Linked DNA regions of Oreochromis niloticus. The protein of the gene in region 1 interacts with the protein of each later gene in a pairwise test. Links are inferred from orthologs where the notes say so. Each region holds a gene or a part of one and is shown on either strand. Other genes may lie near its edges. The genes, in order: nuclear factor 7, brain; ubtd2; wdfy3.

Region 1 (3,755 bases):
GTTTGTATGATAACGATCTCTGAGTCTTTTTAAGCTCTTCCTGGGGTGGAAAAATACCGAGCTATGCTGTGACAAACGGTGGGGTTCAGTTTTATTTTGTCACATTTGAAATTTTTGTTACATGTTTTTGTTTTAATAGGGTTTTATTATTACAGAGTTATTACTATTTAATAAATATATATATTTTTTAAACTGTTGCATGTCAGTGAAAATGATGACACACTTACTTCTCATTGACTGTAATGGTGTGACACTAAAACTGGATGTGTCCTATTTTACTGTTATTGTTGCATAAAATTATATTTTTTCTTCTTCTCTGGAAATATGACTACAATCTTATATTCAATAGATTAAATCAACAACTTTACACTGTGACTGTTCAGACCAGAAGTGGTTCATGAAATGGGAAAAATCAGTAATTGTTATGAGGAGACGATACATTTTATGTCATGTGGCACAAATGATTATATCGATCGATAGATAGATAGATAGATAGATAGATAGATAGATAGATAGATAGATAGATAGATAGATAGATAGATAGATAGATAGATAGATAGATAGAGGTATGTCTGCATTTTTAACACAGAGAAGAAAAAGTGACAAACTTCCTCTGCTCTACCACATCCTGTCATACTGACAGAGAAAGGGAGAAGTGAAGAAAAAAAAATCTGTGAATCTGCATGTAAACTGGGTCAAACAGACAGACAGGAAAATACACCCGCTGACACATTTAAACACACAGATAGTAAAGGAAACAGTCTGTAATAACCTGGAGCAGAGCTAGACGAAGTTATCTGCCACTGCAGAAATGCTCCAGTGCATTCTCTAACACTACCCTCATATCTGTGTTTAACACACACAGCGAGTGTTTCGGTGAACTCCTTCCTGTGCCTGTCGAAACTCTATCAGCTGAGTTCCCTCGCAAGCTGTGTGACATGAAGCAGTTAGGGCACATGAATGGCAAAAACATGTGAAAGAAGAGCGCATGACGAAGACAAACACAAAATGACGTGTGTGAATGTTCATGAACCTCCCTTTTTATTCCAGGATGAGCTCCTGATAATTATCACGTCTAAACAAAGATGAGTAAGAACATGGTGTGTCACCACCAGTCGTTAGTACCACCAGTCATTACTACTGCCAGTCATCCCTCTGTCTTGACAGGTAAAGGTGGAGGAATGCGTCAGAATGTTGCCTGGCCGCTAGAATTTCTGGTTATATTTAGAGGACAAACACACTGGCGTGTTTTTCTTTCACAGTGCTTCACAAAGAAACAGCCAGCACACACAGAGACACGATACCTTAATGAGGAGGATCTTTTCATTGGTCTGTTTTTGGAAGAGTGTGGCCTCCTCTGTCTGCACCTGAACCCTCTCCAGAGCCACAGACAGCTTTTCCTGCAGGACAAACAGATAATCACATAAAAACGTTTGTTGAAAAGAGGTTATATAAACCAGATTACGCTTCAATCAACAGTTAATTTGATTCGTGCATCAGTCTGAACAGCGTCCCGTCTTTAATGGGAGTCATACATCCGCCAATCCTCAACTGAGCGCCCTGACCCCAAAAATCTAACAAAGCTGGAATTTAGCACTGCTTAAACATGTTAAGACACACAGAGAAGCCTCTCAGAGCAGGTTTCCAAACAACATGATGAAGGTCAGCTGCCAGGTTTGAAAGGTAGTGAAGTTCACACAGGTCTGCTGAATTCCTGTAATGCACAAAAATACCCAAAGACTCCTGGGGCAGACAGGGAGTGTGCTCTTTAAAGCACAACTGCTACATCTATGAAAAGCCTGTTTGCTACATTAGAGCAGTTGAGGGGTTTTTTTAGTAAAAAAGTAGTTTTGACATGACTTAAAGGAATACTTGAAACTTGAGAGGGAATACAGTACTGCAGTACAATAAGAGGAGTGTCCAGTTGTAAGCATTGTAAAGTATGACACTCCTTGAAACTCTGATTCCTTGTTTTATCTAGAAGCTCCAGCTGTTACACTGTAGAGCAGAAAAAATACAGTGGAAAAAGAAATCAAATTTGGTGATTATGTTGGTCAAATCAAAACATTGTCTGTATATGTCTGATTTAAGGTTTTGGAAGACCCGGAGCCTTAAAAAATGAGCCAATAATAAAACAGTACCCTGTAGTTTTCAAAAGCCTCTGTAATGGGGATGACATTGTGGCTCTTGTGGTCTCGAGACATTCCGCACACTAGGCAGATGGGAAGCTGGTCGTCCTCACAGTAGAGCTTCAGCTTCTCCTCGTGTTCCTCGCACATATCCAAACCCATTCCCAGGCGTGGCCAGTGCCCGATGGACGAGGCCACGCTGCTCATGCTCGAACCCCGCTCGCGGTCCTCGGGCATCTCCAGTGTACCTTCGTGGTCCCACACGCACATCCCCGAGGCCGCGTCCATGGCGCGGGCTCTGCGCACACTATCCACGACGTTGCACAGGAGCGAGTTGGGTCGCAGTTTCCGGGCGCACGACTTTCTACACTTCGGGCAACTCGAGAGTTCGTCCGCCTTAGCTTCCCAGCACTGGATGATGCACACCTGGCAGAAGTGGTGCCCGCACTCAAGGATCACGGGATCACGGAAGAGTTCCAAACACACCGGGCAGGTGAGCTCCGACTGTAGCTCTTCAAGCGCGCTGGCCTCCGCCATCCTCTGCTACGCTCATACTTCTCAGAAGACACGTCTGTGGGAAACACTGTAACGGGGAAACAAGACTAAACTGCTCTTCCGTTCAAATTCAGGGAGGGAGTGGTCTGACGCTGACAGCAGTACGACTTTTTTTCACGGAAGAGGCCAAAGGCGTGTAGAAACAGGCTCGACTGGGCGTGATGAAGGGCTCCATTAAAGGGCGCGGTGTGTTTATGATTGCCCAGAGCGAAAGAGGGTTTCTTAGAAAGAACAGTAACAAGAAAGGTCACGTTATTGCTGCGAGGAAATATATGCGGAATTTTTAAAAGGGGGTTGTACCAGGAACAAATTGGCTGACTTGTTGGTTTATAAGTTTTAAATTATTAAACACTTACAGGAAATAAATCAGAAACGTGTGAGCTGAAACTTCTGTGTAGTAGGTAAAAGACACAAACCCAAAAGTGATTTCCCGTATTTGCCAAAAAACGATCGCAAAAAACGATTTAAACAGCTCTGAATAAGTTGTTGGCCTATAAACTCATACAAACCTATCTCTCTCTGAGGATATCAAGTCATTTTGAGACAGAAACGACATTCCTGTCACAATCTGCAATTAATCTTTGGCAGAGTTACTTTTATTTGTTCTTTATTTATCCAGCAAAAAAGTCTCACTGACATTAAAAATGTAGTGTTTTTTAAAGATCTTGCCAAGAAGGCAGCATAAATTGCAACAATTATGACATCACAGCTCTATAAAGATGTTTTAAGTGGCCAAAAGGGGCTGGATTCATTACAATGTAGCTACAATAACGCAGAAATACTTTTACTAATTTCTATATTTTATGTATAATCTCTTCTTAAATCCTGTTGATCACAGTCTATTTATAAATATAAGTAAAGACATTAAACATGGAAACATACAGAAAGATGGAACAACAGTTGGAACAACACCCATCTCAGACAGAATTGAAAGCATTTACAGGCTTTTGAAGATTGAAACTAAGTTTTGAAGCCTTGAAATGCATTTGAGTTTCCTTCTTCACAAATACATCACAGGTTTTACCCTACATGTTTTCATAGTGTCGGTGTAATCAAGTCCCATTAATGGCA
Region 2 (3,755 bases), on another chromosome or scaffold:
CATCTCCTGTGGCCCTGAGCTCGATAAGCGTTCGACATTTATTTGACAAACTGAAACTAACTACATTTGAAGGTTGTTCATTTTGGACCCTGATTAGAAAAGTTATGGTAAGGGGGTAGCATGAGCCTTCAGTGTGACAATGTCAAATGCTTATACCTGATTGCAAATATGGACAGATGGAGATCTGACAGCCTGACAAGTCATTCCTGCTTTAAGTTCACTGCCTGCCTGCCTGCTCATGCTTTGTTGGTGCATTGCAATGCAAATTCTCTGCAGTCAAGTCTACAGCGTTATAAAAAAAACAGGCATGGACATGCGCTCACAATCTGATGATGAAATTTATGTCACTTGGACCCGAGCAGACACAGAATATATAATCAACAATGTGTTTCTGTTCACCAACTCTAAGAAATTAGCTCCACTTCCTTATGCTCGTTAGATATGAATATTTATCCCAGCTCAGAAAGGGTGTACCGTTTCTGAAAGTAACCCAAGAAGACTGGGTTACTTTTATGTGTTACTTACGTTTATCTGATTTCTGGCTAATAGGTTAACAAAGAAAGATGTATGCAATTCCTGAGAAAATCTTTTCTTTTTTTGTTAAAAGTGGCTTAAGACTCTCTAAGAGCTTAAGTACTATATATTACAATAGTCAGGATTCTTCTTTGGCTCTAGCTATAATTTCTTAGAGGGGCGCCAGACCCAACACAGGTACAAAGCAGCTCCAAGGCGGAAATGCTCAACTATGAAGTTGAATTGCTTATTTTCTTCCTGATTTATCTTTAGAGGAAAATATAACTGCGCCAACTTTCATTGGACAGGCTCTTTAAACAATTTTATGTGATTATACAAAACATTAGCAAAAGTACCAAACAATCAGTAACATCAGGAACATAAAAGCATTTTAGTGCGTCATTTAGTTGTAATCATTTTCCAGCAGTGCATGCCTGAATTCCTGTGGATATGCTCTCATGTTATGAACTTGTCTGCATGACTCTCTCCATATGTCTTCATTAGCCTGCTTTCCACATCGTCTGTAAGCCAATAATTCACGTATATCTTTAAACAGTAACCTACTTGGGTGTCATTCAGTAAGGATTTATGTAGGCCGGTATGCACAACAATTTAACATAAAAATTTCTGCAATGTAAACCTGCCTACGAGATCTGATTTAGTGACAAATAAATGTGCCTATGTTGAACTGAACTGTGTCGTTCCTGCTTGCTTGTCTGCATCCGTTTAATGCTGCAGCGTCTCTTGATCCTCCACATTTTACAGATACCGCTGCTGTTTATACGCAACATCTAGTCAGGGAGGAAGCCTGAGGAACTGACAAAGACAGAAGCAGAGGCAACGAGGGAATGAATAAAGGAAACCAAGTTTTATCTCAGCATCTCTAAGTGTTCAGTCTCCACCCCGCCCCCCCATGACCAACTGTATTTACCGCTCTGTAATTAAAATAACTCACTGGCTGTGAGCAGAACTCATTTTCAGATCAGACAAACCAGGAAACAACACTAAGGAAGTTGTGTACAACCTCAAACGACAAGAAGGGCCTCTTCCCCCCCCCCCCCATATCTTTCTTTTTTTTTTTTTAAAGATTCACACCATTTAAACGCAATAATTCCCCTTAAACCCCACCCAGAGCTTTTATAGTTGACAAAGCACCCTTCTTTCACTGTGCACCCTACCCAAATCACCAATGTAAACTATCTAATAAAGGGAATATGTACTACAGCATGCATTCATACACAGTGTCGCACTCAATTTCTCACTGCTTGAGCTGTCATCCCTACTATGCTTTGCGACTGCATGCAACTCCATTTATTGCTCGGTAAATAAAACTAACCTTTACCTTGCAGTTTTGTCCGATATATAACTTTTTGCTCACACGATAAGTTTCGCTTTTAGTCATAAAGCTACAGTTTTGACACCTCCTCCACTCTTCCGACCACTTTTCAGGACACAGCATGACCCGACACCTCGTTCACAACGAAAACAATCAATAATAATAATAATAATAATAATAAATATATAAGATAAGATCAGCAGCTGCCATATGTGCACCCCTACTCGAGCTGTCAGTAACTTCAAGTTGTGCAGAGAGTCTGGGCATAATTCAAATCTGAAATCACACTGAATCACGCCTGAGCGCTCCCCTTGCATACCATTGCTGCCTGTGACCCATATTTGTTATGCAGAAAGCTAGCAAGCTAACTAGCTACGTTTTAGCCGGCTAGCTTAGTCAACACCAAAGAACAAAGGGAGGCAGCCTGGCACAGTCAATGTTTCCCACTTTGTAAAGTACAGAGCAGACGAGGCGTCGTTTGCCGTTTTAAGGCCAGGTGCATGGAGGGAGACACCCGGCAGGACTGCTGTCTGTCTTCGGCTCTGTCTGGCTCGGATATTAAAAGGAAGGGAAGAAGACCTCCAGTCAGGACAACATGCAGGGAGCCTGGAGGAAGCCCTTCATAAAAAAAAAAGGAAAAAAGAAATGCAAGCTTGTGGCCAATAAAAGACGTCGACAAGCCCCGCAAGTTACCTCCAGTGCCGTCCGAGTTCTCGTTTAAGCTGCCCGAAGAGTCGTGGTGGCTCCCGACACAGCCACCCATGGATGTTTCAGCAGAGCAGCCCGGGCTAGGTAGCTCACCCCCCGGCCCACAGCTACAGCTACATCCACTACCCCTCTCTCGTTTTTCTCTCTCTCTTCCCCCTTCCCCTCCTTTTCTCCCTTCCTCCCTCCTGTCCTCTCCTTCCTCCTCGTTTCCTCCCGTCTTTCCCTTTCTCCTCGCTTCCTCCTTCCCCTCCCCTCCTTCTCTCAGCATAGACTGAGCTCAGCAGGCATTATCTTCTTCGTGTTTTTCGGCGGCGCAAGAAGGTCTGAGAGAGGTTCACATCGGTGCAAGGTGACCGAGGTAGGAATGAAGGAGAGAAAGAGAGGGGCCGAAGGAGGAAGAGACATAGAGAGAGAACAAAGGAGAAGTGCACTGTGCAAAACAAAACAAAAGATAAAGATAATCTTTAGGGTATGAAATGTTTGCTTTGGACCTTCTGCTCTAGTGATGTTAATGCATTTTGACACATCTGATGTCATGTTCATGTTCATGTTTGCTGCACAGATGAAGACACATCAAAATGTTCACCCTCTATTATTATTATTTATTATGTTCTCATTCATTCAGCTGGCAGACTGTAGTAGCTGTGCTGCCTATTATGTTCTAATTTCCACTCTATTTAATTTTATTATTCAATTAATTTTTTAGTTTTAATGCACAAAATATTGTTGATTTTGTGTTGCGTGGTTTTTACTCTACTCTGCTCTCCTTCCTGCATGGGAGGCTTTCATTAGTGAAACTAGTTTGGTGTTTTAGACACACAGTTTAAATTTATTAAGTTGTACACAAACTGGATTTTACCCTACAGAGCATAATGAAAGCAGTTACAGTTGCAGTCAGAAGTTTGTATACACTCATCATGGTAATGATGTTACTTTGATCAATTCTTTTTCCAAATAGGAATTTGGTACAGAAGTACCACAGGAGTAAAGGTGAGGCTTTCAAACCTAACAACACTCTACCAGGTGTCAAGCATGGGGGTGGTAGCATCATGCTCTTTGGCTGTTTTGCTGTCAGCGGTATTGGTACATTGCATAAAGTGGATGGAATAATGAAAAAGGAGGACCACTTCCAAATTCGTCCACTTCGCCTCACATCAGCAGCTAGAAGGGTAAAACGTGGTTGTTCCAACGGGGCAAT
Region 3 (3,755 bases), on another chromosome or scaffold:
AGAACAAAGCAGTTTCTAAGTAGTGCAACATGTTTTTGTCACCAAGTCAATGTTGCCTGTCTTGTAACATGAGACAGAGGAGCAGGAAATGATCTCATGCTGAACATGTCTGGTCACGACCAGAGTTAACTGCATCTAAAATGGGCATCTATTTAGTCCTGCACTAAACAACGCCTGGATAGTTGTCATCACAGACTAATATCACATAATTAGTCTTACAGTTCTACTTGTGCCTCGTCTGCCGGTTGATTTGAAAGCAGAGCGGCTGTCGTGTATCCTTGACAAAAAAATACTGATTTATTTCTCAAAAATGTGAGCGCTGCACTTTCATGTGCTCAAAGAGTGCCAATACATTTCAGTAGTGTGTTAGCTGGATCGCTGAATGGTATCCATGACAACTAGCAGGCCTCACACAAATTGCTGCCTGTCAATTATATAATTACACAATATTAGGTACAGGAGGGTGACTTTTGTAGTCAATTAAATTTTAAATATCAATGGTAAAACATATAGATGTATGGTAACATTTTGATACAACTTCCATATATTTGAAGCATGAACAACAATGCATTATAATCTCCATTTACAATTATAATGACAATCAACGATAGCCCCAGAGTAAACCTTTCACAACATCTTTGCAAGTTTATTTTCATCTTCAAATAGCACCACTACAGTTTTTCACAAAGGGCAACATGATAACTTCTCTTTTTCCCCCTTTTATCTTATCACAGTTGCCCAAATTTTCAGCTTTGATTTTGCATAAGCCATTCCTACTCAGTTATGTTTAGTAAGAGAAAGAATAGACTATAAAATGTGAGTTTTAAATAGCTTTAAACATTTCATGTAAATATATTCAAACTACACATAATCTTAAAAACAAGCCAAAAATATGCAGTGTGCAGACTAGGGTTGGGTAAGTGGAAGAATATACTCATTAACTCTCAGGGGATTTTTTCATATGCATTACACTTTGTTGGTGGTCTATATTCTTGTGTATTCAAAGCAAGGAGCAATAGAAAATCATGGTTGGATGTGTGCACTCTTATGTCTACTTTATTTGAAATAGTGCCACAAGAAGGTGCCGCCTTCATTTTGGTTGTGTTGAGCTTGAGTCGAGTTGTACACAGAGACTTGCAGAGATTCTCATCATGTATTGGTAGCAAATGTAGGGCCATAGAGACTGAGTACTAATATAATAACAGTGCAAATATAAAATGTATAAAGAAGGAATTAGCTTTAAGTCTTGTATATTTACACATTCGAGATTGTTAGCTCAAAACCAACAACATTTTGAGCTACCAAGCTATAAAGGACCACTAGCTGCACTACCTTAATTATTTAATAGCATATGTTATCCCTGTGTGTTTGTTTAATCAGAGGTTATAAGGTATCCTTCATATGACTGCTAAGTATAATGGGTACACACACAAATCACTGGTTGTTGGCCTGACATTGAATTAGATTTTTTAAAATGACCAACCTTAATTTCTGCTTCCTGAAGCCTAACTTTGATGTCTAATATCATTCTTACTGACTTATAAACAGCTTTGGTTTCCGACCATTATTAAAACAAGATAACCGGGATAATTATCAAGCTATATTCGATTTTGTCAATCAGCAACCAACTCTACTTATGCTGCTATACAATAATCCAAATACGCTCTCCAACAGTCTGTGGCATATTTAACTTGGTTTGTATTTCTTTTGTTCTTTCCTTCAGCTTAATTACAATTTCAAGTCCACAGTAAAAAAGTCCATTTGTTTTTCCCACATTGGATAAATCTATTTGCTCCCAAGTCTACAAATAATCGTGTTATGCAAGATCCCAATAATGTCCAGAATTATTGTGATTATATTTTCTGAGACTGTAGGTTGTAAGTAGGTTAAATGTCATCCATGTTATTTTATTAATTTAAAGTGTAACAATTATTGAAGGCTACCCTCTTCTTATAGTGTTGAGCATTTGTGATGTTTTTGTTTAAACTTTAAAATTATTAACACTCTTGAGAAGAACATCTTCTATCTAATGACATCTTTAGGCATTTTACACGTATCTTTTGCTAAGTCACACATTTGCTTCGTTTGGGTTTGGCCGATGATTGCTTTAACCACATCGGGATATATTCTTACAATAAAGATGCAACAGTAGGAGATGCTGTAACTGCTCGATGGTGACAATCTCTGGAATCGAAGCTTAATCGTCAATCGACGTGAAACGGTCGCTGACACCGAGAGGCAGTTATTTTAGATCAATAACATCAATAAACATACTATATCCACCAAGGTCAGGCTTTTACCAGTGAACAGTAAACAAACCCCTGGTCGCTGCGGAAACGAGCTCGGCACCCAGCTCTGATTTTCCCTACCTGCTATTCTCTCTGCGCTCCGCCAGCATCTCAACTCATCAACAGAAGAAGAGACAAGAATATTCCACCATAAGCCAAAGACCAGCCGCTCTTCCTCCCAACAACAGTGTCTTCCTGAAACAGAGAGGCGATGGCAATGGTGTCATGCCTTCCCCTCACAGCAGCGTAAGGAAAGGAGAGGAGAGGAGAAGCGCGGAGGCATGGCTCGCCTTTATTGGCAGTACCAGTGGCTTTGTTCGCCAGTCAGCATACTGTGTGTGTATGTATGTATGTATGTGTGTGTGGTCTGCCGGGACTGGCACAGCTGATCCCCCCCTGACACCGGGTGGGGTGTACAGGGCTTTGGTGGAAGAGGAGGGGAGGAAAGGAGGGCGGGCTTTGGCCTCAACGACGACAGGAACATACCATTACCACAAGAAAAGGGGAGGAGGAGTGGGAGGCAGAACTCACAGCAGTGAGCATCATTAAAAATTCATTTTCTGGCCATTTCGGTCGCCATCCTGTACATCCAAGCTCAGACAGCTCACATTAACTTTGCATTATTATGTGGTGTGCTTTCGGGGACAAGTACAGGGAATGACAAAAGCATTCTCAATTAATCTACATGTGTCACACTAAAGCATTTGTAGAAGGCAACTGAAATATTAATACCTGATAACATTTTTCATTTAAAAGCCAAAAATGTACCTTATCATAAATTCTTTGAAAGCAATCACTGAGCTTCTGTAATGTTCTTAAAAACAGAAAAGGGCTAAAATGAATAAAAACTGACTGCTATTTTAATAATTTAGTGGTTAATAGGAATGTGTGTGACTAGATGTTTAAACAATGCTTTCCTCACTAGTCAGCACTGGAAATCCCACATACATACTGTAAGGAGACTGGGCAGTCAAAGTTCCCTGAACATAAATCTATGCAGGAATAATGTAATGATAAAGATGTTGGTTACCCCATTTCTGACCCCAAAGAGCCCCCCAACAACAAAACATCAAACATGTTAGCCAACAGTGTTGTTGTTGTTGAGGGCCTTGGTATTTCTCAAGCTTCTTGTGTTCCTTCTTCCTGATGTTGCTATCACTTGGTATAGCTACATGTATCACTACGGCCTTCTGCCTCTGCTTTTCCACCACTACTATGTCCGGTTGGTTAGCCATCACCAGTTTGTCCATCTGTGTATGGAATCCCCACACAATCTAGATTTGGTTATTCTTCACCACCCAAGGAAGTGTCTCTCATTTTGACTTTGGGACTTCCAGTCCACACTTGGCACGATGTTCCAGTACGCTATGCTGGCCACTTGGTTATGGCGTTCATGCATCCCTGCTTGCTAGCATCTTGCACCCTGTTGTTAGGTGCTGGATTGTCTCAGGGGCATCTTTGCACGTG

Evidence for each region.
Region 2: the proteins of nuclear factor 7, brain (region 1) and ubtd2 interact in a two-hybrid assay, tested with the Homo sapiens proteins (2 studies listed by BioGRID and IntAct). The link is inferred for Oreochromis niloticus from reciprocal best matches to the Homo sapiens genes TRIM39 and UBTD2.
Region 3: the proteins of nuclear factor 7, brain (region 1) and wdfy3 interact in binary tests that used the Homo sapiens proteins (3 or more experiments, as listed by UniProt). The two-hybrid records come from large-scale screens. The link is inferred for Oreochromis niloticus from reciprocal best matches to the Homo sapiens genes TRIM39 and WDFY3.

What each region holds. Positions count from the first base shown.
Region 1 is NC_031966.2:22,736,518-22,740,272, forward strand, and holds the start of nuclear factor 7, brain, read right to left. Parts: upstream 2,854-3,755; 5' UTR 2,667-2,853; coding exon 2,142-2,666; intron 1,401-2,141; coding exon 1,305-1,400; intron 1-1,304.
Region 2 is NC_031975.2:18,857,890-18,861,644, forward strand, and holds the start of ubtd2 (ubiquitin domain-containing protein 2), read right to left. Parts: upstream 2,910-3,755; 5' UTR 2,826-2,909; coding exon 2,543-2,825; intron 1-2,542.
Region 3 is NC_031977.2:34,657,998-34,661,752, forward strand, and holds the start of wdfy3 (WD repeat and FYVE domain-containing protein 3), read right to left. Parts: upstream 2,674-3,755; 5' UTR 2,399-2,673; coding exon 2,370-2,398; intron 1-2,369. UniProt on the Homo sapiens protein: Required for selective macroautophagy (aggrephagy). Acts as an adapter protein by linking specific proteins destined for degradation to the core autophagic machinery members, such as the ATG5-ATG12-ATG16L E3-like ligase, SQSTM1 and LC3.